Astyanax mexicanus: one gene and its partner. The protein of the gene in region 2 interacts with the protein of the main gene of each other region in a biochemical or structural test. Links are inferred from orthologs where the notes say so. Each region holds a gene or a part of one and is shown on either strand. Other genes may lie near its edges. The genes, in order: ribonucleoside-diphosphate reductase subunit M2 and rrm1.

What was found.
Region 1: the proteins of rrm1 (region 2) and ribonucleoside-diphosphate reductase subunit M2 form a complex in vitro, tested with the Homo sapiens proteins (3 studies listed by BioGRID and IntAct). The link is inferred for Astyanax mexicanus from reciprocal best matches to the Homo sapiens genes RRM1 and RRM2.

Annotation. Positions count from the first base shown.
Region 1 is NC_064408.1:76,108,677-76,124,950, forward strand, and holds ribonucleoside-diphosphate reductase subunit M2, read left to right. Parts: upstream 1-9,759; 5' UTR 9,760-9,778; intron 9,779-11,570; 5' UTR 11,571-11,579; coding exon 11,580-11,672; intron 11,673-11,903; coding exon 11,904-11,972; intron 11,973-13,140; coding exon 13,141-13,287; intron 13,288-13,386; coding exon 13,387-13,503; intron 13,504-13,604; coding exon 13,605-13,738; intron 13,739-13,767; exon of another isoform or gene 13,768-13,906; intron 13,907-13,984; coding exon 13,985-14,079; intron 14,080-14,451; coding exon 14,452-14,585; intron 14,586-14,700; coding exon 14,701-14,805; intron 14,806-15,155; coding exon 15,156-15,269; intron 15,270-15,361; coding exon 15,362-15,514; 3' UTR 15,515-15,908; downstream 15,909-16,274. Other genes in the region: klf11a (Krueppel-like factor 11a), read left to right, coding at 809-838, 2,587-2,835, 3,056-3,956, 4,236-4,531. UniProt on the Homo sapiens protein: Provides the precursors necessary for DNA synthesis. Catalyzes the biosynthesis of deoxyribonucleotides from the corresponding ribonucleotides. Inhibits Wnt signaling.
Region 2 is NC_064424.1:10,474,388-10,490,234, reverse strand, and holds rrm1 (ribonucleoside-diphosphate reductase large subunit), read right to left. Parts: upstream 8,546-15,847; 5' UTR 8,407-8,545; coding exon 8,388-8,406; intron 7,088-8,387; coding exon 6,999-7,087; intron 6,802-6,998; coding exon 6,624-6,801; intron 6,515-6,623; coding exon 6,414-6,514; intron 6,320-6,413; coding exon 6,260-6,319; intron 6,136-6,259; coding exon 6,096-6,135; intron 5,994-6,095; coding exon 5,831-5,993; intron 5,534-5,830; coding exon 5,392-5,533; intron 5,287-5,391; coding exon 5,203-5,286; intron 5,119-5,202; coding exon 4,957-5,118; intron 4,866-4,956; coding exon 4,786-4,865; intron 4,587-4,785; coding exon 4,385-4,586; intron 4,272-4,384; coding exon 4,122-4,271; intron 4,014-4,121; coding exon 3,792-4,013; intron 3,659-3,791; coding exon 3,582-3,658; intron 3,484-3,581; coding exon 3,348-3,483; intron 2,947-3,347; coding exon 2,851-2,946; intron 2,585-2,850; coding exon 2,396-2,584; intron 2,306-2,395; coding exon 2,114-2,305; 3' UTR 1,669-2,113; and 1 more. Other genes in the region: slc6a7 (sodium-dependent proline transporter), read left to right, coding at 11,862-11,990, 14,590-14,803. UniProt on the Homo sapiens protein: Provides the precursors necessary for DNA synthesis. Catalyzes the biosynthesis of deoxyribonucleotides from the corresponding ribonucleotides.

The DNA of each region.
Region 1 (16,274 bases), on a different chromosome or scaffold from region 2:
CGTTTCTACAGTGCACAAAATGACATTACCCAAAATAACAATAGTAATAATCGATTATTTAAAAAAACATTATTTTACCCACGTTATTTTTGTACTACGTGAATTATTACTGATTTTCTCGACAGTCTCGGTATCAATAATTATTATCCCTCCTCGTTGTTTTCGCGGTTTTACACGCAGACTCGTTTCCTTTGTCACGTTAAAAGCGTAAAACGCCCGTCAGGAGAGGCGAGGAGCTGTGTTTGAAAGACTGCGCTTTAAACCCGGCAGTAAAGCGCTTTAAATGTTTCTCCGCTTTTGTTTCACTTTATTCGCTTTCTATTTGTATTTTTTTTATAGCACGCGTGCTCCCTCCGTGAGCTCGTGCTTCCGCTAGACGCGCGCGAGCGTCTCAGTGCTCCGCGCGCTCGCCGCCGCGACCTTTCCCCCAGTTCTCGAGCGCCGAGTTCACCGGGTTTACACTGACACCGCTGACTCCTCGGCCACGCCCCCCAACAGCCACGCACCCCGGCTCAGCCAACCAGCGCCCGATCACGTACTGATCACGCGCTGCCCCGCTTCCTATTGGCCGATCTCTGCTACACCTTTGTTTCTGATTGGTGACATGTTACCACCCGCCAGTCTGCTCTGAATTTTGTTTCTGTTTTTTTCTGCTGCTTCTCCGCTCCTCCTGATTCACTCAGCTGAGGCTGGTTGAACCTTGCTGTAAAAAAGTGGCTACACTTATGAGCGCAGGAGCTGCTGGGCGCTCGTGTCGCTTGTCCGCTAGTGCTGTTGTCTCCTGACTGCGCCTGTCTGAGCTCCACACATGCCGACTCTCGCTCCAGACTCGGGTCAGGTAAGTTGAGGCTGTTGTTGTTCTGTACTGGCGCGGCTCCGCCGTCTGTTTTGGTACTTTAACGCTACGTTATTTGCGCAGTGACCCACTAGAGCTAATGAGCACGAGTTTAGTGCTGCTGCAAAGTTGAACGCTGTGAAATGTGCACTTTTACACAGCTGCAGATGTTATTTTTGATCTTGTATCTTCTGTCTGTGTGCTGGTCGGTTTTTAAAGCAGTGGCTATTATTACTCTTGTTTATTTACGTCCATCAGATCTACTCATTCTTATTATCATATGCTTAGCAGTTTCTGGACTTTTATGCTGGGAAGAATGTGCGTTGGTCAGACTGACTTTCACAGGTTGTACACAACTAATTGCACGCAGAGTTCCTGTGTTCTGGTGGAGGATCATAGCCAGTAAAGCCTTTGCCGCAATCAGTGTTGTGCATCCTGCCCTTAGGTGATGATGAGCTGCGTTTGTTGCTACTTGAGATCTTTGCAGCAGTGCCCCATTTTGTGCAGGTTGTGTCCTTGTGTTTGAAAGTACTGATGAGTACTGCTACCTGACTGCATATAACTATATATATAACTTTATATAAAACTGTGTATATAAATGTACAGGCTTTATGTTACAACCATGCCCAACCTTATGGACCTCAACAACAACAGTAACAACAACAACAACAACACAAAGGTGCTGAAACCATCCCTGCTAGTGTGAGACCCTCTGTAATAAATGGCTTCAGTTTCTGGCCCCTGTGCAGGCTTCGTTACAAACAAATGGAGGTGTAGACTGAATTTAGTACTTCCTCATGTGGGTGCCCGCCCTTGCTGCATTTTTTTTTGCATGGTAAACTCACATGGCGGTTTGGTTAGGGGCACGTCACTCTAAAGTCTATTTTTGGCGATGGGAGGTTCCCAGCAGTAGAGTTTAGTGTTGGTGTTGAGGGCTGGGTGTAGCAGCCAAGCAGCAGTGGCGCCTCACTCTCGACATTAATTTCTTTGCTCATCTTTCTCTGTAACTCTTGCATTCTTACAAACAAGGGTTGGTTCCTAAATGGTTCTTGACTTGGGTTTGTAGTTCTAGTTCTAGAGATCCTGACATTATGTCAAAGCTTTTATAAACTTTTTGCTCACACAGTTCATAATAGTCTTAGTTGGCTGGATTTTAAGAAATCAAACCCTTTTTGGTTCCTTCAAGAATCTTAAGTCTTTTGACACCTGTATTTGTGTTAGTGTATGGGGGAATAGGTTTGGAGTGACATGAAACTAAGGAGGCAATATGAGAATATTTCATCATAGTGTCATTATTTAAAAGCTTGTTGTGGATGTCAATCTGATATTACATCAAATGGTATAAAATGGACTAAGGCACGACTTATAGTATTTTATATGTGGCACACTTGGTCTAATTTAGCAAATGTTCCACTAAATACTAAATATTGTGATTATATTATTATATTGTGATTATATTATTTTTTACCATTATACTAAATTTTGTCTTTCTCGATTTTCAGACATTATTAGCCATTGATAGTAGTATATTAAGGTTCATTTAAAATAGTGCTTTGAAATAAAGACATGTGACTGACAGTAAACCGGAACTAAAAAAAAAAAGTTATTTTGAGTTTTTCTTTATCTATTGATAACATTCACATTTACTGTAGTTAAATACATGATTATCTCTGCTATATTCCAATTGTGAGTCATGTATTGAGCTCTCTTCCCAACATATTAACATTTCCATCTAATGTTTCCTGCTGCAGACCAGTCTCATGGACATCTGTGAGGTGATAATGGAGAGGAACAGGAAGGACAGTGAGAAGTCCTGCTCCACCACACTGCAGTACCATGACCTTGAGGCTGCTGAGGCACTGGTGTGCATGAGCTCTTGGGTCCAGAGGTCACCCAAACCGCGCCCGCTGACACCCACCTCCGACTCCTGTGACTCGCTCAGTCTGCACCATGAAATCCCCCTGGAATCCCCGAAAGACCTGGTGTCCCTCTCTTCACTAGTGAGTATCAAATAATGAAACATTTCTGGGTTATATGATTATATCACAAAAGTTAGTAAGAAATGCAGTCAGACATTTGATCACATGCATTTAAACATAATGATAGAGAACGGAGAGCAAAGTTATTACAGAATTGACAATTTCAAAAAGAGTTCAAGCATGTGAACTGAACTAAACTGAATAAATAAACATGCTGACTTAATTTTCTCTTCTACCCCAGTGCATGACCCCACCACACAGCCCCAGCTTTGCTGAGACTGCTACAACTTCTGCCATCATCACCACCATGACTCCTCTGGCTGGGTTGGGTCTCAAACCGAGTGTCTCACAGCCCAGAATGTGTCCCGTACTGACCAACGTGGTTGCAAGCCATGGCAGCACCACATTCCTACCAAACACTCTTCCACCACCACCACCACCACTACCCTCTGAGCCACCTTGCAGGGCCATGGCCACCAGTGTCATACGGCACACTGCAGACACATCTTTAGATCACCACATTCCATCCCCTTCCACAGTACAGGAGAGGCCAGGACCCTCAGAGAGTCCTGTCCAACAAAGTGATTCCAATACCCAGGTTGCCATACTGACTGAAACACAGGTATGCAGTAGTCCATGTACTACAGCAGAAGGGGAACAAACTGTCCCCTCACCCAGTTCCTCAAACCCTGTTTCACAGTCCTCCCACTCCATGCCTACAGCCCCAATAGCCAGCCCTCCAGTTCTCTGCCAGGTGTTTCCCGTGAATGGGCAGACTGGCATCATCTCCGCAATCGTTCAGACACACGTTCAGATGCAGGCCACTGGGCAAAAGCCCATTCTCCCACAGTCACCCTCTTTTTCTCAGCCTCTTCTTGTGGGGTCTCCAGTGGCTCAAGGGACCGTGATGTTTGTGGTCCCCCAGTCTCAGGCCCCTCCATGCCAACAAAATGTTGTGACTGTTGGCAGCACCAAACTCCTGCCCCTGGCCCCTGCCCCGGTTTACATGCCCCCAGGTCAGAGTGGGGGCACCACACAGACAGACTTCTCTCGCAGACGGAACTACGTCTGTAGCTTCCCAGGATGTAAGAAGACCTACTTCAAGAGTTCTCACTTAAAAGCCCATCTGAGGACCCACACAGGTTGGTGTTAAATCACGTTCAGCAGAAAGTGCTGTGAACCTTCCCTATGTGCTTTACAGTTGTTTTAATCACCTTGAAAATAAAATTTTAACATACATTAACCTCTTTTTCACAAATTGTACAATATTGTTTTTTTTTAATAGAATAAACTAACACAATTGATTCTGAATTGTCCAAAAAGGTGGATATTATTAAGACATCCAATCAGGGTTGTTTTTATTTAGTAGGTGAGCACTATTACGTGCTGCTCTAACTCCAACTCTTGTTTGTGTTCCTTAGGTGAGAAGCCTTTCAGTTGCCACTGGGAGGGTTGTGACAAAAAATTTGCACGGTCTGATGAACTTTCTAGACACCGCCGCACGCACACAGGGGAGAAGAAGTTTGTGTGTCCTGTGTGTGATCGGCGCTTCATGCGAAGTGACCACTTGACCAAGCATGCCCGTCGTCACATGACCACCAAGCGGTCCTCAACATGGCCCACCGAAGTGCGTGAGCTCAACAAAATGGCCTCCTCCCAGACGCCATCTACACAGTCTTCTCTTGCTCTCAGTGTCCTCTTACCTGCCTCAACCTAGGCCAAACCTCAGGCCACTCCGTCACCTCAGGACAATATCCCACTGACCATTTTACAGTGGAAACAGAAAACCAAGGCTGCTACACATCCATGTACAAAACAGACTGACCTTGCACTGGATTTTGTTTTGTTTTCTACCATGGTCATTTATAAGGAATTATTGTTTACTTTTGTATAAGTTATGTCTCCCAAACTGTATGCACTTCCTTTGCCAAAGTCTTTGTGTCAGTTCATATTACTTATTCTAAACCGTTGTATATTTGTACATAAATTATAACTATCTATATGAATGTAATGTGTATTCAAACATGCATTTATTGACAATATATGAATAAATGTCTCTGTAAAGTGAACAGTATTCCTACCTGTGATACTACCTATCTTCCTTTGAATATTATTTAATAATGAACATTTGAAGATTCAAATAAACCATCATGCTTATGATGTGGTGTCTGTTTCATTTGAGGAAAATAAATTATAGTTGACAACATATAGCAATATGCTACCAAGAATTTGTTCTACAACCTATTTTTGCCATGTAAATTTCCACAAAAATAGGTAAAAATTGTGACAGAAACATCACTTCATGACGTAGTTAGCCTAGAAAATATGTAATGTGAATTTTGTTAAGAAAGGCACCCAGAAAGAAGCGCAAAACAATAAGTTCATTATGCAATCCTACACTGAGCTTTGCTGGATACAGTTACACAACACTCGCTCAGCGCAATCTCCCCATAACACCCAGTAACAAACCTCGTCCAATCACATCACGCCGTTGTGGAGCGGTTAGGGGGCGCGACCAATCAGGAGCGACCTGGGGCCGTGGTGCATTAACTGATTGGTGGATTTTGAACCCGCCCAGCTGCCTTACTGACCGATATTCTCACACGATGAAGGAAAATTTGCGTAAAGATGAAACCGCCAGATGAGGGGAAAAATAACTGACGTAGGTTTCATGTTTTAGCTGCTTAGCGCTACACCCAAAAAATCTATATACGCAGTTTTTAAATAGTTATAATAAATAGATAAAAATAAAAAGCTAAAATATGAAATGAAAGCCATTTGGGATTAAACTGGGACCCGAACAATACCAATACCAAACAACGGTGTCAGCTCGTTTTATTTAATAATTTAAAAATATGTACTAATAAAAATATTTATCTTTTTTTTTAATAAAAAAAAAAAATACAAATAATAAATACATATACATTTATTTTTATTTTTAGCTAAACACTAAAATTATAAATATTGCAGCCCCTGACAGTCAAAACATTTAGCATAAACATGTAAAAAATCTCGATTACATGCAAAGTCAACGTTTTGTACCTACCCACAATGTTTCTTTTCTGAGAGCAGGGGTTATACAAAACCGTGCATAATAAAGATCAGTGGCTTTACATCTACACACTACAGAGACCGCACGCTTCGCTATGCTGTTTACACTAGCAGACTCGTTTCCGAGACAGAAGCAGTGGTGTTATCACTTCAGTCTCTAGATTAGACTAGATTAGCACATTATACGTAATTCCATCACTGTCCTCTGAGAAAAAAAACACATACTGAGGGGAAAAACAAGTCGGACTGGGCTATTCTAACAGGCCTCATCTAAAGTCACAGCGACGCGCGCCCCCTGCTGTTACTGCACCTCTACTACACATGTGCACAACACCTCTTCAACATCACTACACATGCAACTGAACAACTGTTCAGTATGTGCCCGCTAATCTTCTGTTAAGCCAATAGTTGTTGGAACACTGATGTGAGGACTTGATTAGAGCAGTGGTGAAGCCAAGTATTGACTCTAGTTTTCTAAAGGGAATTTTATCCCTCAGCTGGTTCCAGTAGTTAAATGTGCCTTTACACCATTCTTATTCCACCAGCAAATCTATTCTATGGAGAATGCACAAGTGTATGTGTATTTTACAGCAGCAAAAGTCACTTAGTAGGAGTGTCTTGATCATTATGTACTTGTTATTATGAAAAATGTTAAGAACTACTGCTAAGGTCCAGGCCCTCTGCTCAGCAGCCAATCTCCATCGAGGGGGTCAATGTGGAAGTGGTCAAGTCCTACAGATACCTTGGTGTGCACCTGGACGATAGGCTGGACTGGTCAGTGAACACTGACTCCCTCTACAGGAAGGCCCAGAGCAGACTGTACTTCCTCAGAAGGCTTGGGTCCTTTAACATCTGCCAGAAACTCCTGCTGATGTTCTACCAGTCTGTGGTAGCCAGCGTCCTCTTTTACACTGTTGTGTGTTGGGGAGGCAGCATCAGCAAGAGGGATGCTGGACGACTGAACAGGCTGGTGAGGAAAGCTGGTTCTGTGTTGGGACTAGAGTTGGAGTCCTTAACACCACTGGCAGAGAGGAGAGCCCTCAGCAAGCTGCTGAACATCATGGACAATGTTCACCACCCTCTGCACAGCACCATCACCAGGCAGAGGAGCTCATTCAGCGGCAGACTGCTGTCCCAGTCCTGCTCCACAGACAGACTTCGAAAGTCTTTTGTCCCTCAGGCCATAAGACTGTTCAACTCCTCTCAGCACAGCAAACTGAAGACTCTGTGACACCTTTTCTTTCCAGCAATTCTGGCCACACCATGGACATACCCCCATCTATGGTCACACTATCTTGCTGATGCCCATAACACTATTTTTATAGTTCTACCCTATTTTGCACTAGTAGTTCATTCACTAGTTCATTCATCTACTGTTTACGTATCTTTTGCACTGCTAAATTTAAATTATTATATAACTGTGTTTGCACTTTCTGTATGGCGGACATCAGTTATCCTTATACTTACTTTATGCACATCAACTGGTGTTCGCTGTCTATTGTGTTCAACTGCACTACCTCCATTTTACATCACACACACACACTAAAGACTGTACTTTTATAATTTCATTTTATTTTTTATTTTGTTGTATTTATATGTATCATTTATATATTTTTTTATCTTTTTGTAACTTTGTGTACTATACACACCTGCTGCTGGATGTCAAGAATTTCCCCTCGGGGATCAATAAAGTATCTATCTATCTATCTATCTATCTATCTATCTATCTATCTATCTATCTATCTATCTATCTATCTATCTATCTATCTATCTATCTATCTATCTATCTATCTATCTATCTATCTATCTATCTATCTATCTATCTATCTATTTGGTTTAAACAACACATGGTCTGCAAATGTTTCCCTCTTCAAGGTATAGAGCAATATAAACTAAACAAGATTAATATAAGATTGAATGGGTATAAGAACAAAACTGTTTATTTGTGAGTTGAGGGTATTCATATTGTATTATTTTTTTTATTTACTGAGATGGAATGAGTAGATGTGTTAATGATTCAACAAAAGTGACATACAAATCTGACCTTAAGGATGTTCTATGGCTAAATGCAATCAGATCCTTACAACCAAAAAATCTAACATAAAGCCTTCTTAAAAGAGTATATGTTCTTACTGAAGTGAAGAGAACAAATCGGCTATTAACACCCTTATAGACATCTTAACATGTGGTGTCTTTAAAATATTAAAATATGAAATTTTTTCGGTAGTGCCCAGCCCTGGAAAAGCAGTTACTGTAAATTTCACTGTGATTTTGCTAGACTGTAGTTGTTGTTCTCATTATTTTATATTTCCGATACAGCAATCATCTTTTCTAAATAGAATGATCTTAAGCTCTAAAATAAAAAAGTCTTTTTGCTTTTAATACTAATAAATTACCAGAAGTGGGCCCTGAACATTTTTACAATTCAAGTTAAAAGACTGTATTTTTTCAAAGCATAATAAATTTATTTCTACACACAGAAATGTGTGTGGTACATAAACTACTATTTTCACTGTTGCATGCTCTCTAAATATTTGCTGCTTTGTGTCTGACCCCATCTCTCTAGGTTTCTTGAGATTTTATTTAAAGCAACTGATCCCAGGAAGAGATGATCATATGCTAACATATGCTAGTTTTACTCAGAGAGACTTTAATACTTTTACTCTGATACATTTTTATGTGCTGCACTGTTACTCGTTACAGTTCTAAAAATGTTACAAATTGTTCCAAACCCACACTATCACTAAAGCTACAGGGGTAGATGGTAATGTTACTGGGTATCAAGCAATCAAGGAAATCTTATTCAAAGACTGTGCTTCTCCCGTTCTGCTTTTCGCTTAGCAAAGTTCACAGCTTTCTGTAAGAATTACATAACACAGTACTGTACTTTTAACTACTTGCAAAAATTACTTTAGTACTTCTACTTAAGTGTGGAGCTTAAAGAACATTTATACTCAAGTCTGTTTTTTGATATAGAACTTGTAGTGTTACCTAAGTCTGGGTCTCTAGTTCTTTATTTTAGTACGAATATTTTTCTGATACTACTGCAGTTCAGTTTGTTGTCTCAGTACTTGTAGTTTTGACCAGCTGATTTTGTGGTTTTACTCTTTTTTTGCTTGAATTCCACATACAGTCGAGACATTATTTTACTGAGGTGGCATTACACATCAAAATACAGCTCTGGAAAATTTTAAGAGACCACTTATTAATGATGAGCTTCTTTGATTTTACCAAATTGAAAACCTCTGGAATATAATCAAGAGTAAGATGGATGAGCACAAGTCATCAAACCAAACTGAACTGCTTGAATTTTTTCTACCAAGAGTGGCACAAAGTTGTCTAAAAGCAGTGTGTAGGACTGGTGTTGGAGAACAGGCCAAGATGCAAGAAAACTGAAAAAAAAAAAAAAAAAAAAAGGGTTATTCTGCCAAATATTGATTTCTGAACTTGTTTTCTTTGCATTATTTGAGGTCTGAAAGATCTGCATATTTTTGTTATTTCAGCCATTTCTCATTTTCTGTAAATAAATGCTCCATTTTTATTTGGGATTTGGGAACTTTTGTCTGTAGTTTTTAGAAAAAAAAAATAATTCAAATATATACCTATAAATAAATAGCAATATCAGAGAAACCGATGTGGTCTCTTACTTTTCCAGAGCTGTATTTTTCAGTGTAAGGGTTAGTGTACTCTCCACACCTGTTTAAACACAACTTCATGTGTAACTCTTCCTCTGTTTGGCTCTTTTTTGCTCTGCTGCGTGTGAAACCTCCTCCCTGCAGAGGGCGGTACTCGGTACACAGCGCACTTTATCCTTTTGTTTGTGTTGCTGGGCTGGGGAACAGCTGTGGTGATGTTTGGATTAAACAAAGAATGTGTGTTTTTAGGGGATTTATGAAGAAATCGTGTAGCTACGGTACCTTCAGCTCAATGAGTGTCTCCGCTGTGACTGTTGTGTAAGGTTGTCAGTGGCGCTGTGTTAACTTGTAAACAGGAGCAGTGGCTCTGTGTTGGTGAATCGCGGGCTTTAGCTAACCCGGCTAAAGCTTAGCTCAGGGTAGTTGTGTAGTCGTTGGCTTGTTTTATCTTGTTTTTTTTAAATATAGGGCCAGCTCCTGTAACACTATAAAGATTAAAACTCTTCTGTTCAATAGTGCGGCTTTAATGTACAGTGACAGCGCAGAATCACATTTTATAAACGCTCTATAATTAGGTTAAACTAGCTACTGCAGGAAGGCTAGCTTCGCGTCCGCGCCAAATAACATTATTATTCTTCGGACATTTCTATCTTATCTCGCGTAAATAACTTAGTCCGGCAACTACTAAACACTAAGAGTTAATAAATAGCGAGTTAACCTGTTTTCACTGAACTGTTCTAATCAGTACTGTGTGTTGTGTTAGATCTGCTGTATTATGTTTTTCTTACCAATCTGGCGGGAATTCGCGAACCAGGAATGTTTTGTCATCACATAAGAAAAGCAATTTATAAAAAAAAGACAATACACTGAATTATCCTATTTCCCCTCATTTATGATTACAGTGCATGTCTGCAGCTACTGATCGTTTTTGTTATATATATTTAGTACTATATCACTTCATAACCCAGTGTATGTGTGACCTACATTTATAGCCTGCATCCATACTTGGATTTCCTTTACGTTTTTTTTTTAACGTATAAGCACATTTACGATTAAAAATGTAACTCTGTATATTTAAGGTGCATGTCTCTCTAGCTGCTGATTTATGTGTGTCTATATTATTTCATAACCCAGTGAGCGTGATTCGTCCGCTTGTTATAACCCAGCTAACTAACTACATCCGTACAGTGAACTTCCTTATGTGGGGGTTTTAAACGTGTACCAAGATTAAAACACAAAATAAAACACAGATTTCCCCAAATGTTATGTTAAGTTATGTTTAAGGTGCATACATGTCTCTATTTATGTATTAAGTAACTTAAGTCCATAACCCAGTGTGTGATTCTTCCTGTGTTTATACAGCCATACTTTTACTTCCGCATCCACGTTGTAAAACGTATAAATAAGTACGTTTACGAAATGCTATTAACTATATGCTGTTTTGCACACGTGTGTTTATTACTGATCGGTAGATAAACTGGATAGTTTAGATATTTAACCTATAATGCGCTTTTCGCGTAGAACAATGACAGGGAGTTGCAGCATGATTTTTAAAATACATATATATGTAGCGTTAAGATGTAAGCTAGGTTATGGTGTTGCATTATAAATTTCTAGCGTATTTATATGTGTTTATTTGTCGATGTGAGCGCGTTTAATGTCAGTTTAAGGTTATATTAAGGTTATATTTTTTATCCGAAAGCGCGCCTTTTTTACACAATCAAATTTTACTGCCGTGTTTGTGAAAAGGAACACACACCCGGCGCGTTTGAAAGTTCCCGCGATCTGCAGCTGACGCCTCCGCTGCTGATTGGCTGGTGACAACAAAAAAAATTAAATGACCTCCGGGAGCTCTGCTCCTATTGGCTGAGCCGGATCGAGCGCCAAGAACTGAATAAAAAGGGAGCAGCGAGAGACTCTCCTCATTTTAGTTTCTTCTCTGCGCTTTAGGCTGTCGCTTGCTTAGTCTCTGCTTTTATTTTACTTAGATCACTTTTTACGTTTTTAGTTTTCCTTATTTTACTGCTAGAACAACGTTTTCTTCTTTTCCCCCCCTTTTTTTTATCTCAGAACTACACAATGCTGTCCACTCGCTCTCCTCTCAAATCCAAGCATGAAAACGCTGTTTCTGCTAAAATGGGCTCCATGGGGCTGGTTGACAAAGAGAACACGGTAAGAACGGGTTTAATTATTGAGCTAATACTATTTATTTATTTTTTTCCCCCTTTTTTTTATGTTTTCAGTTCATGTGTTAATATTTTTGTTAATGGCACGCTGGGGATACACCGGGCTGTGTGTGTGCGTACAGTTAGAGTGTTCTAAAAGACCTGTTATTGATGCAGTAAATATCAACTAATGCAGTTAATTTTAATCTAATATAAGTTACCTGTCTTTGCTCTATAGCCACCAAGTCTGAACACGACCAGAATCCTGGCTTCCAAAACGGCGCGTAAAATCTTCGATGACTCTGAGGTGAGTAAACTTTCCAACCTGAGGCATTTTTAGCTAACGCTAGCACGCAACAGTTAACCTACAGTTAACTAGCTTCTGTGTGTATTGTGACCCAGCAGCAATATTACACAATTCACTTGTTGGTTAAAGGTTTAAAATAATTATCTTGTTGTGCACCGCTGATTTATAGTTAGTTTCATTTGCACAAAAACTGTTTTAACAAAAGCTCCAGCAAGGCTAACCTCCCCCTCCTCATCACCCCCGCCAAACAGCTGACGACGTCCTTTGGCGGCAGAAAGCTAACCCGCTAGTTAGCTTAGTTAGCCTATTGTGTAAACCTGTTCAGGCAGTCCTCTTTTTTTACTTTGTTCAGCCAAACCACACGTTATTTAAAAAAAAAAGTACTGAAGACATCGCCTTTTTAACACCATCATTACCTTCTAAGTTAGTGTTAATTCCATAGCGTGACTACCATAATTTTACCTTTCTAGTCATCTATGGTAGGTTAGTAAGTCAAAGAGTGGCCTTTCTCAAACCTTTTTTTAGTTCGGTTTTTCATTTAAATTAACAAGCATCAGTTTTTGATGATGGTAGCAGAGCAACTTAATCAGTAACTAGCTATTTGCTTTGTTAGTTAAGAGGTGTTTGATACATTTGCTCAAATATATATTAAAGTAGTTTTATCTGTGACTAAGTGTAACTTTTACCTTGAATTATTTGGTTATACAACTTTTAGTGCATGCAAGTGGTTCTGGCTCTGAAGTACCTGATTTGGAGACTTTCCAAATAGTTCTGATTGTATGACTATACAGATGATCTGTAGCTAGATGGCTGTAAACTGCAAGCTGTTGTGTGGTTTTAAATGATGATAAAAAAAAATAGTAACCAACTATTATGGGTATCGCATTAAATACCTTAATTTGGAAACTGTAGTGCACTACAGTATGTATGGTGGTAACTGTTTCATGATCAGGATTAGTAACTAATTGTTACTTAAAATGATGGATCCTTGATGCAAATTATGCAATCATTTGTACTAACAAAAAGGCTGTGCATATAGAACATGGTCTACTAAAGGTTCGGACTGCTGCAAGGCTAGATATTTTATTAAACTACTTTGTATTTTTGCTGTCTGTAGCTGCACAGAAAAATGAGTGTTTAATATTTCCTTTTTTCTGATTTTGTATAGGACAGGCAAAAAACAAACAAAGCAACTGTGGAGGAAGAGCCCCTTCTGAAAGAGAACCCACGCCGCTTTGTCATTTTCCCCATTCAGTACCATGACATCTGGCAAATGTACAAGAAAGCAGAAGCTTCTTTCTGGACAGCTGAGGAGGTATGCTTCTGGCACTTCTGGTGAAAGTCTGCAGCCGTTTAGATTTCATTATTTGCATGTAAGATATCTGTTCTTAAATTTTGCTGTCTCCCTCTGCAGGTTGACCTGTCCAAGGACCTTCAGCACTGGGAGTCCCTGAAGGATGAGGAGCGCTACTTCATCTCTCATGTGTTGGCTTTCTTTGCTGCAAGTGATGGTATCGTCAATGAAAATTTGGTAGGTTAAGAAACCTATTCACTTGTAAACAGCTTGCACTTTACATCTTACACTTTAAGTCACTTGTTTTATTCTTATTGGATATTATTTTTCAACACTAGGTGGAGCGCTTCATGCAGGAAGTGCAAGTGACTGAAGCACGCTGTTTCTATGGCTTCCAAATTGCCATGGAGAACATTCACTCTGAGATGTACAGCTTGCTTATTGACACCTATATCAAAGACTCCAAGGAGAGGTTAGCTGAACCTTTCAGTTTCTGTTGTGAGGGCAGTGATGAGAAGCGCAGGGGTACGGACCTCAGCTGATAATGGGAGCTGAGTGTTGGTGTCTCATCCCAGATCAGTAGGCATGTGGTCAACTGTCTGGAGGGCACCAACATGAAACAGTCGCTTTCCTGAGCCCTGAGGAAAAAAAAGTTTAGTTTATTGATTGCCGCTTGCCTTTCTGAGTTGTCACTAAGATTCTTGCGCTGTTTCCTCAGGGAGTACCTCTTCAATGCTGTAGAGACTCTTCCATGTGTAAAGAAGAAGGCTGACTGGGCACTCAACTGGATTGGCAACAAAAATGCTAAATATGGTATTTTTCAGAACCTACTTTTCCCTCTACTTCAGATTCTAAAACATTTTTCAAACATTTCAAATTTTCCAAATACCACATACACATGCCTATATTGCCTATTCTGCTTTAATATAGAATAAATGCAGCAAGAGTATAGAGAACTTTAATTCTACATAGAATGACCATAAACAAATTTGTTGATCCTAGTGCAAAAAGTATTGAACTGGTTTGTATTAGTTTACCTTCCAGTTTAGTTATCTAGTGTGCCCCCTGATATTCTTTTTGTACAATCAGTTGTACACAAATTACTTATCTAATGTACATGATTGTCTTATGTTTTAAATATGGATTGCAATGCGATTCTAATGTAACTTGTTATATGGTCTACAGGTGAAAGAGTGGTGGCCTTTGCTGCTGTGGAAGGAATCTTCTTCTCAGGTTCTTTTGCTGCCATCTTCTGGCTCAAAAAGAGAGGACTCATGCCTGGCCTTACCTTCTCCAATGAGCTCATCAGCAGAGATGAGGTAACTATCTTGCACCAGTTAACAGGCTGTGTCATTAAGATTTTCAGGGTTTTTTTTTTTTGTCTGTCTTTATTTTTTTTTTTGTTTTTTTTTTAAATGTGTTTCTTGTTTCCAGGGTCTTCACTGTGACTTTGCCTGTTTGATGTTCAAGCACCTGATGAACAAACCCTCTGAATCAACGGTCAAGAAAATCATTATGAATGCTGTTCAGATTGAGCAGGTATGTTTCAGCTCTATATATTGAAAGTAAATAACACTTTGTACCTTGCGATCTATTGTGTATTTAATTGAGCAGCAATTAAATTGCATTTGCTTTTCATAAACATTTTAAATGATCCCAAAGTAACTTTTTATGCGGTCTTAACAGTGGGATCTTTCAAACACTTCTAGCTAGTGGTCGGGGTTAACACGTTACAATGAATGGCTTTTTTTTTTTTTTTTTTTATTAAAAAGACTAGTGCATTCTGTTTAAAATAAAGCAGTAATGCCAGGTCACACTACTTCAATGTATCTGTCTTTTGAATGAATTTAAAAACAATATTTTAAACGCCACTGTTTTCTGTTTTTCAGGAGTTCCTGACCCAGGCTTTGCCAGTTAAACTGATTGGTATGAACTGTGACTTGATGAAGCAGTATATTGAATTTGTGGCCGACAGGCTGATGTTGGAGTTGGGCTTCAGCAAGGTGAGAATTGTTTATTGTTGGATGTGTGGCCAGTGCTCGCTATCCTCATTCCTACATTGTCCTTCATTTGATCCCTTTTTCCTTTCTTGTAGATCTATAAAGTAGAGAATCCCTTTGACTTCATGGAGAACATTTCCTTGGAGGGGAAGACCAACTTCTTTGAAAAGCGAGTTGGCGAGTACCAAAGAATGGGTGTCATGTCTGGACCCACAGATAACACTTTCAGGCTTGATGCTGACTTCTAAAGTTTTGACAGTGAATGGACACTTGAAACATTTAACACTTGAAGAGGTGATGGTCTGTGGCCCGCCTCCGTATTTCGCCCGCAACGTAGTCACTCATCAGGACTGCTGGATAGGCACTGAGGAACATTGTAACCGCAAATTCACTCTGCAGTATTCATTCATTTGGGCATATGTGGTTAGGTTTTTTTTTTTTTTTTTTTTAAGAAATGTTTTGGAATATGCTAATCCCAAGTGCAGTAAAGGTTTTAGTTTTGTGTTTTATTGTATAAGTTTCTGCAATTGGTGCTGGTTTTATTTATAGCTTGTACAAACTGCGTTTCTTGCTTTCCTGTTATTGCTTTACCCTGGTGAATGTCTTAATGCATTTAAATGTGTAAATAAATTTTTGATAAAATGTAAGCTCTCCTGAGCCATTTATTTTGTAGTGTAACATTTTGTATTAAATAATTGGTCACTTTCATGCTATATATGCCTTCAACTGTTCTGGTCAAGCATTTTAGTACATGTTTATGAAGGTAAATAGGTGTTGCTTGATTTGAAGACTTGAAGATTTAAAGGCAGCATTGTAAAATTTCTAATGCTTGGGCTCCCCCTACTGCCAGGGTGTGTAATTCACACTTTGAGCTACCCCTAAAAGACATGCATTTCTGGATAAGCTGAGACTCATTTAAAGAGTGGATGGGAAGCAAGTGGTATTGTATTGCATTTATTTTACTGGGTTTTACACATGCCAAAACTGGCAGTGTGCCAAGTCTGGGGT
Region 2 (15,847 bases):
GTATAACTGTGTATAGGGTTTCCTTTTCTCATCCCAACTAAGGACACTAAAATGGTGCGGTAGATCTTGTTGATTGAGAGCTGTAATTGTCCCCATGGCCTGCGTACAGGTTGCAGCTTGCTCAACACCTGCTGTTTGCTACTTACAGCTGGGTCATCCCACAAAAGGTCCCATGGTTATTAATTAATCTGTTACCCAGAGCCTCACTTCCTCCCAACCTGTGGAAAAGCATCACACCTGTGCCCCTGTTATATCAGTTTATAATCTGGAAATAGATTGCTGTATTCCCACTCTTTTTTAGGACAAGTTTCCAGAACATTTTGTACGACTGCTTTGCTGACAACCAACATAAAATAAATGTATTGTAGCATCAGCAAGGACAGATGTGGTGGAAACCTTCCGATACCATTACTCTCTCCCACCACACCCCCATCCTATTAGTAGTTAGGTCCCATTAATAGTCCTATTAGCCTTGTTTTTACCATAGGCATGTTCTGTTTGCACTGACTTGTTTTTATCCCACCCTGTTACTACTATTCCTCATTTCTTTTAAGACAAAAAAAAACATGCAAAAGAGCATTTCTTAGTAGTACACTGTTCAAAATGGGTTAATAGGGTTAAAAGGGTTAATAAATGCTAAGTTTTAAGTAAAGGTTGACTGCCTGGCCACAGCATTGTAGACCATAAGTTACCAAGTAACTTTACCAGATAATCACTGCAATAAAGCAAATCTGGGCCATTTTATTATCTATCAGGACACATATTAACTCTTTGTAGTCAGTTATAAATATATGTGTAAAAAAATTACCTACTAGCAATCATAATACTTTCTTTTTTTTTTTTAACAATTAACTAAATACCAAAGGAAGGGAGCCTGGGCTGGAAAGACTACACAAGGAGTTAAGGATAGGGAAACATGTCCAAAATTATAAATAAATGATGCCAGGAAGCAAAAAGAAAAAGTAATTTTTGTGTAGTAGATATGTTGTTTTAGTGTTAAGTAGGGCTGCAACTAATGATTATTCTGGTAGTTAACTAATCTGATTATCATTTTTTCGATTAGTCAATGATTTTTTCTGCCATGTCCTCCATCTCTAAAAACAGAATAAAAAGTTAAACATGAAATTTAAAAGGCATTTAAATGTCCACATATTGTTTAAACATGGAGAGTACTGATATTTAGTGGATACATATGTAATCTGTTGTGTTTGAGCACTTTGAGACACAGACCAAGTTTCTTCTGTTCCCAGCACTTAGTGTAATGTGGCACTGTTACAAATTAACGATTAGTCAACAATGAAATGTATAGTCGACTAATTTAAATAATCGGCATTGTCGATTATATTGATTAATTGTTGCAGCCCTAGTGTGAAGTGTTCCATAAAAGTATTACTAGCCTCATAATATAAACTGGTTTTATACACAGGCTAATGCTATTAAGATGTTGAGTTATTTGGGCCAAAAACAACCTTCATTTTTCAGACCTTATTGCAAACTAGGCATTGGCCATTTAAATAGCTGACAACCAATCTAACAAGTGATCTCCAAACTAAACATTTTAGTTGCATGGAGTCTGGACTGACGGGGATTTTGGCTGATGTTTAAAGGCACATCAAGAGTTGAAAAGTAGTCATTACACAGATGAACCCATAAGACAAACCCCACAAATTTTAAGTACAAATCATTTATTGTTTTAACATATAAAACAATCAATTCTTTACAGACTGGACAGTTAATAGTAGATATTCTATGTAAATAACATGCATCAACACTGCTTCTGAAATGTATTATCATCAAATGCAATCATACACAGATCAGTGGAAATCTGTACAGAACTGTTAGGCAGTATAGCCAAGTGAAATAAATATGAAACATTTTATAGCTCTATTTGGTTGATAAGCATTCTATGTACAGCACTAAAATAGAAGATCAAAAGACTGTAATGCATGTCCCACAGCAACAGTATTAGCAACAGAAACCTCATTTGATGCCTTGTATTAATTCAGACAAAATACTCTAAGTGCCATTAATGACTGCAAAACACCTGGCGGTTGATTACGAAGCTCAACATGACAAGGTTGAAGAGCAAGGATGCTTAAGACAAGGAGAAACTTTAAGAGCCACACATCAGGCACTCATCACGATTCTCCAGAGAGCACACCATAGCTGCCGTGTTGCGTTCCTTGATCTCTTCCTCGTTGCTTTTGGTTGTCTGAGACTCTTTCAGTTTCTCCTTGTTGAGGGTGAACTGGATGGGTTTGGCAGCTGGCTTTGTGCGCAGATAATACATGCCAGTTTTCAGCCCCTGTTTAACAAAAGACAATAGTTAAGCTCCATTGCTTGACTGAGTAATGCTCTATTATATACTGTAGATCCAAAGCGATTATTAACCCACCTGCTTCCAGCCATAAAAGTGCATGCTAGTAAGCTTGCCATAGTTGGGCTCTGCAATGTGGATATTGAGGGACTGACTCTGGTCGATGAAAGCCCCTCTGTCAGCAGCCATCTTGAGGACCACCTTCTGAGAAATCTCCCATACAGTCTTATACAACTCCTTCAAGTCATCTGGGATTGTGGGAATACCCTACAAAAAGAAGCCCACCAGAAAAGTCAGAGAACAGAAAAACACAATATAAAGGCAGGAACACAAATTAAAATACATTATTATGCTCACAAATTACAAGTCTTCCCTTCCTATGGAGTTGCCATTGTGGAGATGTAAAGATTTGTCACACTGATAATATTCATGTGACTGTTAGATTACTTAATCTAATCTATTTATAGGATCTACTGGGTAATATGATTACTTTCTTAAATATTTAGCTTGTTCTTTTCATACACTGTACCTACCTGGATTGAACCATTGTGAGCAATCAGCTGGTTCTTCATGTCTTCACTCCACAGGCCTCTTTCTGTGAGATCTTTCAGCAAGTGAGGATTTACAATCTGAAAGAGACAAACAATAATTGGTAAGTAAGTATATACATATATATTAAAAAAATTATGATTATATATATAAAAAATAATAATACCCTATAAAACATAGTAGCCCTGTTACAATAACAATTGACAATTTACTGATCGTTATATTACAACAGAATAAAAAAAAAAAAATAAATAAAAAAAACACTTTTAAATGTCACCTTGTCATGTAAAACCTTTAAATATCCTGAATAAGCAAAATGTTTCCTTTTGCTAAGTAAGCACAATGGGCAATAGACAGATCAGTTATAATTGAGGTTATATCCATATATTGTACGATCATCTTAGAATGTAATTAAGAATCCTTCCCATCAGTCACACACACACAACAAATGTGAAAGATGTGGTAAAGCAAATCATTTTACCTGAAACTCCCCAGAGAGCACTCTGCGTGTGTAGAAATTGCTAGTGTATGGCTCAATGGACTCATTATTACCCAGAATTTGGGCTGTGGAAGCGGTGGGCATCGGTGCAAGCAGAAGACTGTTACGGATACCATTCCTGCAAACCAACCCAAGAAAAGCTCACAATTAGGCATGTTTTTTTTTTTTTTTTTTTTAACATACAGAAGTAAGAGACCTACTGAAGACTTGACTTACTTGGCAATCTTCTCCTTTAGCTCCTTCCAGTCCCACAAGTCTGTTGGGGTCTTCTCCCACATGTCATATTGCAGGATCTGAAGATAAGAGACAGAGGGTGTAAATCTCTGATACAATAAACACCAACACTAATTTAAACAAATCATATAAATCTATGCTTAGATGTATGAGCCTTTATGTGCAAAGTAGTCTTGTGGTTTGGACACTTACGCCTTTGCTAACAGGAGATCCAGCATAGGTTTCATACGGTCCATGCTCAGCAGCCAACTCACAGCTGGATTCCAAGGCAGCGTAGTAGATGGTTTCAAAGATCTGTGTATTGAGGAGTTGAGCTTCTGCACTTTCGAAAGGGAACCGCATGAGTATAAAAGCATCAGCCAGGCCCTGCACTCCAATACCAATGGGCCTGTGGCGCTTGTTGGATCTCTCTGCCTATTGAGAGATGAGAGAAAGGGTACCGGTAATCATTTTGAAAAGAGCAGGTTTATAAATCATAAGGTAAAGGAACCTCAATATTTAGAAACATCACCCACAACTCACCTCAATAACTGGGTAATAGTTGATATCAATGATTTTGTTCAAGTTCCTGACAATGACCTTCGTTACAGATGCTAACTTCTGGAAATCAAATGTCCTGTCAGGTGTCACATACATGTTAAGTGCGATGGACGCCAGATTGCACACAGCCACCTGCAAAATTCAAAGCAAAAGTATAAGTTAGACTTTCGTTGAACATAGAAAAAATATGTAAATATACCTGCAAAAAAAAAAAAAAAAAAAAGAAAAAAAAAGTAAAACCTCACCTCATCCTTGCTTGTATACTCCACAATCTCTGTACACAAATTGCTGCATTTAATGGTGCCGAGGTTCTGCTGGTTGCTCTTCCTATTGCAGGCATCTTTGTAAAGCATGTAGGGAGTGCCAGTCTCAGTCTGAGACTCAATAATAGCATACCACACCTGCTGAGCCTTCACTACACGCTTTGCCTTGCCCTCCTGCTCATACCTGCAAAAAAAAAAAAAAAAAAAAAAAAAAAAAAAAAGCATTGTTCAGATAAGAAAAAAAATTACGAGTTTTATTTCTAAATAGTAGTAGTAGTAGTAGTTTCAGGGTAATTTTACCAATTATTTAGAGTCAAAACACTAAAATTTTTAATATGCAAAGAGTCTAGTGGATGGGCCAGAATCACAAATGGGTATTTCACCTGGTGTACAGTTTTTCAAACTCTTCACCCCAGCACTCATCCAGACCTGGACAGTCATTTGGGCACATAAGGGACCATTCCTGGAAAAGCAAGTTACAAATTAATTATATTAACTGCATATTTTAACATTAGCATATACAGAGCTATTTTCCCCTAAATTGCTGCACTTACCGCATTGGTCTCCACTCTCTTCATGAAGAGATCAGGAATCCACAGAGCATAAAACAGGTCTCTGGCCCTCTGCTCTTCTTTACCCGTGTTCTTCTTCAGCTCCAGGAAGTCAAAGATGTCAAAGTGCCATGGCTCAAGGTACATGGCAAATGCTCCAGGCCTCTGAAAAAAGGCAGATAAGGATTGCTTAAGTTGTGTCCAACACTGAGGTTAACAACAAAAATACAATCTGTCTCTCTCCCTCACCTTGTTTCCCCCCTGGTCAACATAGCGAGCTGTGTTGTTGTAAACACGGAGCATGGGAACCAGTCCATTTGAATTGCCATTTGTCTGAAAATTATAAAACAAACAAAAGATAAAGTTGAGATCTTTATTTTTCCCCACTGTCCCAAAGAATTCCCAAATTCAAACCTTAACTGGAAAAATCTGACTTACTCCTGCAATGTAGCTGCCTGTAGCTCTAATACAGCTCACTGCAACTCCAATGCCTCCTGCAGATTTGGAGATCAGGGCACACTGCTTCAGGGTGTCATAGATCCCGTCAATGCTGTCGTCACGCATAGCAAGAAGGAAACAGCTGGAAAAAGGAAGGAAAAAAAAATCATGATAATTATACCTGAATATATTATACAAAAACCTCATTACATGTAAGGATTATATAAGTCTCCTGCACCCAAGTGCTACAGAAAGAGGTCAAACAGGCTTAACGACAAACAGTCTAAACCTTTAGGAACACAACTTTCAAAACTTGTTTTACTTTACAGTTTATAGCTTTGTTTATTTTACTGAACTGCCCTCTTATGTCCAAACTCTGAAATGCAGGCATATTTCAACATGTTTCATCAACAGCAATATGTCTCCCTCTGGTGTATACCTGGAGAGCTGAGGCCGGTTAGTGCCTGCATTGAAGAGTGTAGGAGAAGCGTGGGTGAACCATTTCTCAGACAGCAGGTTGTAGGTCTCAATAGCAGCAGCAATATCTTCCTTATGGATCCCAACTGCTACCCTCATCAGCATGTGCTGTGGCCTTTCTGCAACTAAAACCAGATGCAAAAAGACAGTGAGCAATAAACATTTGACATTGCTCATATTTAGAGAAGTCTTCAGGAATCAGTAAAACATTTATTCAAATAACTTACCCTTTCCATCAATCTTGAGCAAATACGACCGCTCCAGAGTCTAAAGAAAGAACACACATTCAGTTGAGGTGAGTAATTTGTAGAATAACTATCAAATTTGTTTTTAATAATTAGGCAGAGCACATCAAATATTCATTAGAAGTTATTTTCAAGACTCAATTTACCTTGAAACCAAAGAAGTTGTAAGAGAAGTCCCTGTCGAAGATGATGGCTGAATTGAGGCGCTGTGGAAAGAACCAAGGAAAACTAGGTATTAGGGGAAAAAAAAAAAACCTTTACAGATCAAAAGAAAAACAATAAATGCTTTATCATTCTTACATCCTTATTAGCCAAGATAATGTCAAGGGTGTCCTTGGAGATCATTGGGGAGTGTCGTCCATTAAGAGGATTAACGTAGTTGTAAAGGTCCTCCATAACCTCTGCAAAAAGCAAAAACACAAAATATATATATTTTTTTTCCGCAAGTAATGTATAACAAACCTCTGGAACTCTGCAGGAAATATACACCAAGCCGGTCAGATTACTTACCACTAAATACCTTCTTTGTCTCCTTGTGCAGGTTAGACACTGCAATACGGGCTGCCAAGATGGCATAGTCAGGATGTTTAGTGGTGAGGGTAGCAGCGGTCTCTGCAGCCAAGGTGTCCAGCTCTACAGTGGTCACCCCACTGTACAAGCCCTGGATCACCTTCATTGTTATCTGAGTCTGGAAACACAACAGCAGAAAGGCATATTGTTAAAACACATTGTAAACATGTTTTAATAATAATAATAATAAAAAAGAAATTCTATTAAACAGATCAGACAGTCTAAAGCTGTGAACATATTGCAATGTCAGTATGCAGGTTTTGAGGTTGTAGAACGATACAAAAATCTCACAAAGAATAAATAGCCTATACATACAGGATCAACAAAGTCAGAGTTGAGTCCATAGCAGAGCTTCTGGATACGTGAGGTAATTTTGTCAAACATAACACGCTCCTGGCGTCCATCTGCAAATAGAAAATAGGCATTTTTAGTAATACAGAACCTTAGAAAAGTTGTGTTTTGTATCAATAGTCAATATTGACCAAGCTAGCAATCTAAGATAAGAGATAAGATAAGAAAATCCTTTATTAGTCACACAGTGGGCAAATTCACAGTACTACAACAGAAAAGTGATAGCAAGGCACTCAGTATAAAATAAATGTATTATTTTAAAAAATAAAAATATTATATAAAATAAACAGTACCATATAAACAATAAAAAGTCAAGAACTCTTAAGATTGTATTTACAAATTCTGTTACACTGAACAAATTTAATTTTCTGTATGTGTGTAGCGTTTAGGTGTGTGTCTAGCTTGCTTCGAACCAAACTAGGTCAAACATGGAGACCTTATTGTTCTAGTTTAGTATTCACTTGTTTTGCAGCAAACATGATTATAATTACAAGATTGCAAAATGTGTTAAGGGTGTGTACCGCAATCAGATTTTAAAGAAGTTTGTTTTTATATGTTTTTTTTCCTTTATGCTGAGAACTTGTCAAAGTTTTTCCCAAGCTCAGTACCTTACCACCAAAGCTTTAAATACAAGGTATTTAAGTTAATTTAGCATTTAAAGGCGCAAAGGTTAGAAAATAAGACATTATCTTGTGCTAAATTAACTTGAAGTGAGAGGGATTAGCCAGTTAACTAGCTAACGAACTCGGCCAACAGGCTATTTGGCGCCAACCACACTGACAACAAAGGAGGAGTACTGCAGCATACAGGAACAATGGTGATAATATAGCGAAGTTAGCTATATAACTGTCATCTAAATGCATGTTTTATTTAGCATAAATAATATTTAACGGATTTATTAGCTGTTCATGTGAATAGTGGATAAACCGGAGACTTTATTCTGAATATTTGCTGGAGCTAACTAACCTAGGTTAGCTATCTAGCTTTCTTTACTGGGAACTTCACACAACTATAATTAACCTAACTATATTTATCATTTAAACCACTTGTCTGGATTTAACAACAGTAAACACAGGTTTAAAACAGAGCTAATAGAGTAAATATATCAGAAAGCAAAGCTAGGACTACAGTAAAGCTACAAACATATATAGCTAGCTAACTATATAGAAGTTCACTGCCAAAATAACGTTAGCTAGCTCACTTATATTAACTGTTATAAAACATACATTACTAGCTATATAAAATGTCAGTTAGTTGGCTATTTAAAGCATAAAGATTAATATAGGGCTATTTAACACAGCTAACCTAACCAGATTAGATAAGAGGCAAAATAAGAGGCAAAAACACACTCACCTCGCTTGAGGACGTACATGTTTACTTATATTGTAAGGAAAAGTGCAAAACTGGTACAAAAATGACTATTATAACAGAGGTACTGTGTATCTAACTACTAGCTTGGGCCTGCCGTCCAGCACTGACCAGCTGATGCAAGAAATAAAGCGCGAATGTCTTCAAACCGTGACAGAAAACCTCCATGCTTAACTGCGAGGACCAATCAGAGGAGGGCTGGGGGCGGGACATCCTGATCTGCAGCCACTGGCAGCTTTACTGGATTAGATAAATTCTAAAAACAGTGAAGGTGACCTACTATTTATCATTCTTCCAGTCTTTGGAATATTTATGTTGTAGTGTGTTATTTATTGTGAGATAATATATTTTATGTTTGTTGAGAAAGATTTAGGCTTGTGGACATTAAAGAGTCCACATGGCTACTTTTGCTTTGTAATGCATATTGTAAACATGTGGATGGTGCTATAAAAACAGCAGATGTACGTATAAGTAGGTATTAGTCTCTTGCAGAAAAAAGTTTAACACAAACAGACAAATACACTTGCTTCAAAAAAATAAAAATAAACAAAAGAAGGAGAGGGCGATAAAAATCGCTTCAATATAGCTAACTTGTGTACCCATGTGAGTTATTATTGGGAACGATTTTTATACGCTAATGCAATATATACTGTAATGTGAGACTTAACTATTTTTAAACATACTTGATAATAAGAATTAATAAGAAATTACATTTTTGAAATTTGCCGTTTTGTTTATTTGTTTATAGTAATTTATTAGTAATTAGTATTGATTAGTAATCATACTGTGCATTGTTTTTATATAAACAATTTTTAAATACTATTTTATAATAAAAATTAAAAAAAAAAAAATACTAAAATAAAAGAGACCGGACTTCTTTCTGTTTTCTGCGTGGCGGAAGCAGATGGTATTTTATGTGGCGGGAAATTTGAAAACCGGCAAAACTCGATGTGAGTGAGATTGGCGGGTGTGTGTGTGTGTTTGTGTGTGTGTGTGTGTGTGTCAGGAGCTGGAGTGGGGTAGGGTATACAAACTGACACAACCATTGTTCCTTCTTCATATTTTACAAAGCAACACCACAACTAATACTAAGTCCCTCAGTGCAAAATAAAAAGAAAAATCCTTGAGATTTTTATATTGATGTTTATATACATCATATAACATATATTTTATTATTTTGACATTAACTGTCAGTACATTTCTCATCATTTCTGTTCTCTTATGTGTTTGAACCTAAATAACGAACCTAATATTTTTATCTGGACATGTAATATGTTACATAATAATACACATGTAATATATTTGTATCCTGCACTTAATTTGTTGTTGCAGCTGTTTTATCTGGTAACATAACAGTTTAAATATCTTTAAAATGTTTTTTTACTATTCTGTTAAATACTAGAATTTAAAAAGAAAAAAGCAAATGACAGGCCCAGAATAGCCAGATGTATCAGATATATTGTTTAAATGTATATTATTATTGTATATAAGTATTATATACAATAATAGTGTGTGTTTTATCATCTGACTATATTATATTAGGAATGCTAAAATACTGCACACTGACTCAGATATGACTGGTTTCCTACCTGGTAACAGCATTTCTGAATGTTTCTGAACACTTCTTCCTCTTTTTTACACCTCTTCCTTCTTTGTGTTTTGGAGAAACTGATGCCAAGAAGAGGAGGAGTTCATGTGAATATTTTAGCCACTCCCACATGACCATCTTCTGACAGGAGAAGGAGTTTCTCTGAACAACAAAACCACTCCCACAGGGTCACACACACACACTCACACACAAACACACACACAAACACACACACACTTCCTTCTTCGCAGAAGGAGGAGCAGTCTTTTTGAACAACAGAACCACCCCCACACACACACACACTTCCCACAGAGAAGGAGGAACCTGTCTGAGCATCACCTAGAAACAACAAAACACACAGTCATAAAGTACAGTGTGAACCTTTATGCAATTACTAACTGTCACTACAGAACATAATTACACAACATACAAAACTAATAAAACACACTTAAAGATTAATATGACTTAGAGAAATTATATATTTAAAATGGCAACATTGGCACTTATGGCCTTTAGCAGAAAATATGTGAATAGACTAGAGTTCAAGTAATTGTAGACAAACAAGTACAAGTGTACTGCACTAATACATCAAACAAAACATTCACATAGCCAGCAACTAAACACACAAACACTGCATTAAAGTAAAAAAAAAAAAACAAGAAAAAAACAAGATGCATCAGAATGTACAATACACTACAGTGTTTAATGTGAGATATCTAATCTTTTGTGTTTTTTTTTAGAATTAGGTGTTAACTCATGGTCTATACAGTCACTGGCCTATACTTCATACTAGCAAAGTTGCAGTTTCCTGCGTGGCTTCCTGTGGAAACGAGAGCAAAATGCTGTGCAACACATATCAGTCAAACAGAAGAAAAGCGGCATATAGCAGCTTTTAAGAGAGATCTGTGTTTTTTATACCAGGAAAAAGGCTTCCTTTATTTCTTTATTTAATTCTTTGGTTATTTACACAGCATATATAAACTTGTCTTTTTGTTATTTGAAGTTTATTTAAAGACTGTAATTGGCAGACAGACAGATAAGCAGGCAGACATATGGATATACAGGCAGAAAACCAACAGATAAATGACAATTAATGACAAATTAATAGACAGGCAGATAGACTGACAACAGGTAGACAGAAAGACATGTAGACAAACTAACAAATAGACAGGAAGATGTATATAAATGGATATACAGGCAGATGGAAAACTGACAAATAAATTAAGACAAATTAATAGACAGGCAAGAGACACATAGGCAGACAGATTGACTGAAAAGACTGAAATGTAGACAGACAGATATGTAGGAAGATTAACAGATAGATAGGCAGACAAGCAGATGGACAAACTAACAAATAGACAGACAGGAAGATGGATATAGATCCAGGCAGATAGAAAACCGAGAGATAAATTAAGACAAATTAAGCGACAGACAGGTAGACTGGCAGGGAGACATATAGACAGGAAAATTAGATAGATAGATAGATAGATAGATAGATAGATAGATAGATAGATAGATAGATAGATAGATAGATAGATAGATAGATAGATAGATAGATAGATAGGAAGAAGGAATGCTGTATAGGAGGAGTGGGTGTGCTCAGGTGTATAATGGCCTGTTTATAGGGGTGAGGAGAGAGAGGTTCCTCCTCTCACCTCTCTCTCTCTCTCTCTCTCTCTCTCTTTTTGTCTCCTCCCCTCCCCAGGATCAAACATGGCGAGCTGAACTGTACACCTGCGCTGCTTCTGCTGCTGCTGCCGGGCTGCTGTGAGTTTGTGGGGCGGAATGTAACTTTTCTCGCGGTGGTTCATCACTGTTAGTCCGGCGGGTCCTGAACGGGCGCGTGTTTGTGAAGCTGCTCCGCCGCCTCGATGAAGCCTTTACCGGAGCCATGTAACAGCGAGCATCAGAAGAAAGGCTCGAGCGCCGCTGCCCCTGGGGAGATGCCGAGCGCGGAGGAGGCGAAAGCTCCACCTGGAAACACGGAGCTCCGCACGGAGGTGAGCCGGCCAGAGACCTGCCCTTACCGGGGCCCGGGGTTTCAGCCGTTTCTGGTTATTAAACTTTATTACAGTAAAGAAAGTGTTAAACCTGGACAGCTGTAGTCTGGCGGTTTTGAGTGGGCTTGTTTGGTTTGGTTTGGTTTTTACTGACTGGGTGAGGAGGTAACTCAACCTGTTTGACCTCATTCCTGGAAAAGTACAACAAAAAATAGGAAAATGTGTATCAACAGAGACCACTGTTTTTATTCCTTTAATACTGCTTCAAAAAGTAGTTTTTAGCACAACTGGCTTTACTTTAAGTAAGTACCACCACTAACGTTACAGTGAAAGTGAATGAGGAATTTAGCGTTCAACTAAAAAACAACAACAACAACAAACAGTCAGGCTATATTTTGTGCTGTTTTTATTAACTATAACTGTTTGTAAACGTTTATTAAATGCTCCCAGTCAGAATTAAGTTTCAATTAAGTTTTTGATTTCACGAGGCAGTGAATTATTTCCTAAATAAATAACAATATGTTATGAGGTAAATGAAAATATAAGAAATGAAACAGACAAATAACAACACTCAAAAGTGTAAATAATAATAATAATAATAATAATAATAATAATAATAATAATAATGATTATTATTATCATAAATTAAAATAGTAATATGTGTGGTGGCTACACAGTATAGTTGATGGTCAGAAATGGTCTAGACATGGTCAGTTTACAGAGTGGTCAAAAAGTACCAGAAGTGGTCAAAATAAAATTTGTGCGCTGACCTTTATCAGGAATTTTAACTTAATTAAATATAAACATATGTTTTATTTTTATATTAGTACATATTAGGCCTACCACAACACCCTACAATATATTTGCACAACCTCAATTATTTTATTTAGAGAGGAATCACATTATATTATGTTTTTCTTAGCGAAAACAATTAATGTGAATGGCTGGAATGTTCCTTTAAAAAAAGAGTGGTTTAATTATATTCATCCATTAAAATTAATTAATTAATTAGACTTAAAAGTTCATATAATTGTAATTTTATGCAATGAAATTATTATGTCATTATATTAGTGGCATTAAATGGTCTTAAAATGACAATAATATTGTTTAGCACAATTATTTATGGGGCAATATTTAGTTTTTGCCTAGTTTAAATTTGGCTTCTCAAGGCAGTAAATTATTTACTAAATGAATAACAATATGTTGTGAGGTCAATATTCAACAAGTACAAGAAGTGTTCAAAATAACAAAAAAATAACTTTTGTAGCATAAATTTGAACTGAATTAAATCTAAACGTCTTTATACAGTTGTGAACAAAACACTCCCAAACTAAACTTTTGGGAACAATAAATTAGACCTAAAATTCTCTAATCATTTAAATATTTTTTTTATTACACTCTTCATAAACAAGTCATTTGTTCATGGCATTTTAGCTTTCTGACTGCTATTTATTGCGTCTATTTTCCACTTTCATTCAACCCTATAAAGTAAATAAAGAGAGCTATGATGCAGTGTGTGTGATAGGCCTACAGTGTATTTATCTGTGTAGCTCTGACAAGTTTCCTCTTGCCAGCCATTGTGTGAAGAAACAATATCATGGTCTGCAAACCAGAATGACTTCCCTTTCATTAGAGTGCAGAATCAAATACAGCATGCTCTGGTTCTCTGGTTCCTCTATAGTTTGCTAATGTAAGTATCACGCCTAATTCACTTCAAGGACAGTATCAGTATCAAGCCATTTATTTGGCTCCTCGGTTGAAACTAGAATTCAATGGCTTCTTTTATGTGGGGAGATAGATGACTAGCAGTCAAGTTAAGGTTGATCCTCACATTTAACACTGTATACTTCATACATGTGTTTGTAATAGTAATGTTGTTTATTTTATTGATTTCTTTTGAGAACTTATGAATTATGTGCATTTAATTCAACAGCTTCAGGTAAAGGTTGAAATAACATGAGATTCCTTGTATGTGAAACAGTAAACACAAATTGAGTGGGGTTTGACTCATAGTTAAAATACATGCAAATATGTCTCAAGGTGGAAATGGGTAAATTTATTGTAGATCATTTTATTATCGCCTTATCATACAATATATGGACATGAACTCAATACATTTTACTGACCACAATATTACATAATAATACTAATTAATACTATTGGTTAGTCTTTTTATTTAAATGATGTTTTATTTGTTTAAGATTTGTTTATTTTTTAATATTCCAGTTCCATTGTCTGAATTTTTTTTAAATATTAATAGTTCATTACTTTTTAAAAGAGTATATTTGTGTTACTTGTCATTATATTACTTGTCAGTGGCATAAAGTAGTCTCAAAAAATGATTTATTATGAATTTCTAGGACAAGATGTCCCAAAATAGGTATTGTGACATGCCTAATTGTACATAATAAAATAGTAATATCTTTTTAGTAACTACATTTTCATTCTAAATTAATAATTAGTGGAATTGAATAAAATTGTGGTGATAATTATTTTCTAAAGAACTGTAATTAAGTTGTTATTAGGAACGAAGTTTACATCCCCACTCAATGGTGTAGAGTTGTGTGTAACACAATTATTATTTTTCTCTCTTTGGTAGAGTCCAGCACAGGTGAATGGCTTCAGTGTTCCCCAGAGCAGTGTGACCGGTGCTGCTGCATCTTCCCCACCCTCTCCGGCTCATTCAGCAAACCCCCAGCTTCCCAGAGAGCAGTGGGGCGGCAAGTACGAGTTTCTACTCTCCTGTATCGGCTACTGTGTCGGCCTGGGAAATGTCTGGAGGTTTCCTTACCTTTGTTACCGGAATGGTGGAGGTGAGTTTTCATCAATGGGATTGAACTTTGCATCTGAGCAGAAAGTGGGATATAATTTAGTCAGCCTGAATCGCTTTTGATAGGCAGAATAAAGTAAAGCAGCACTGCTTGGCTTCATGTGTGTATTTACAGTAAATATAATCTCTCTGCCATTCTTGTTTTTACAGATCAGTAAAGCAATATGGTCTGCATATAAGGTTGAAATAGGATAAATTTAGTAGTAAGCAGTAGGGCAAAAATCATGATAATTATAAATAAAGTAATTTTTATATTACACAGTAAATATTATATTTTAATTTGTAAATGAAATGGAATATTAGTATCAGTAAAAAAATATCATCAAAAAGTGTGGTGACTTTTACTGTGTCTCATGGGAGCTATAGAATGATGCACTGACCTGTGGGATATGCATTTGGGATACGGGTGTCTGTACACAGATAGTAGTGACGGATGCTGCCGATCACAATCATTACCCCCCATTATTTCCATCACATATTCTCAGTACACATGTCACATTTAGGACTGAAGAATGACCTTCAGAAATGGAATTCCCCATGCATCTGGCACCCACTGTCAGGCCCTGCTAAAACTCCCATAATTCACATCATATTGCCATAAACACATTGGCCAGTGTTCAGCCTTTATCACAAGTTAACACCCAATAACCTATACATGTGTAGGTGTTCCCAAGCCATCCCCTGGGGTAACACTTCAAAAACTCAATTAATAAAATATATAATATATAAAATACAAAAAAATAACTTATCTTTATTAATAACCTTTATCTTCCTTCCAAATAGCATGTGCAATCTGACACTAGTTTTGCAACTATTTCGTTGACAGTGAGTGTAATATAATGTAATATGTTATCTTGCAGTCCTATCACGAACAAGAGAGTAATTTGCTCTCGACAGGTTGGGTAGCACCCATAAATTATGTTGTTTGCATGTCAGAGGCTGTGGGTAATCCAAATTAAGCTCTGGTTAGGGTGTGTTTCGTGACATTTGAAATACAGTCTTCTGCAAAGCCTGACATGGTAATCAA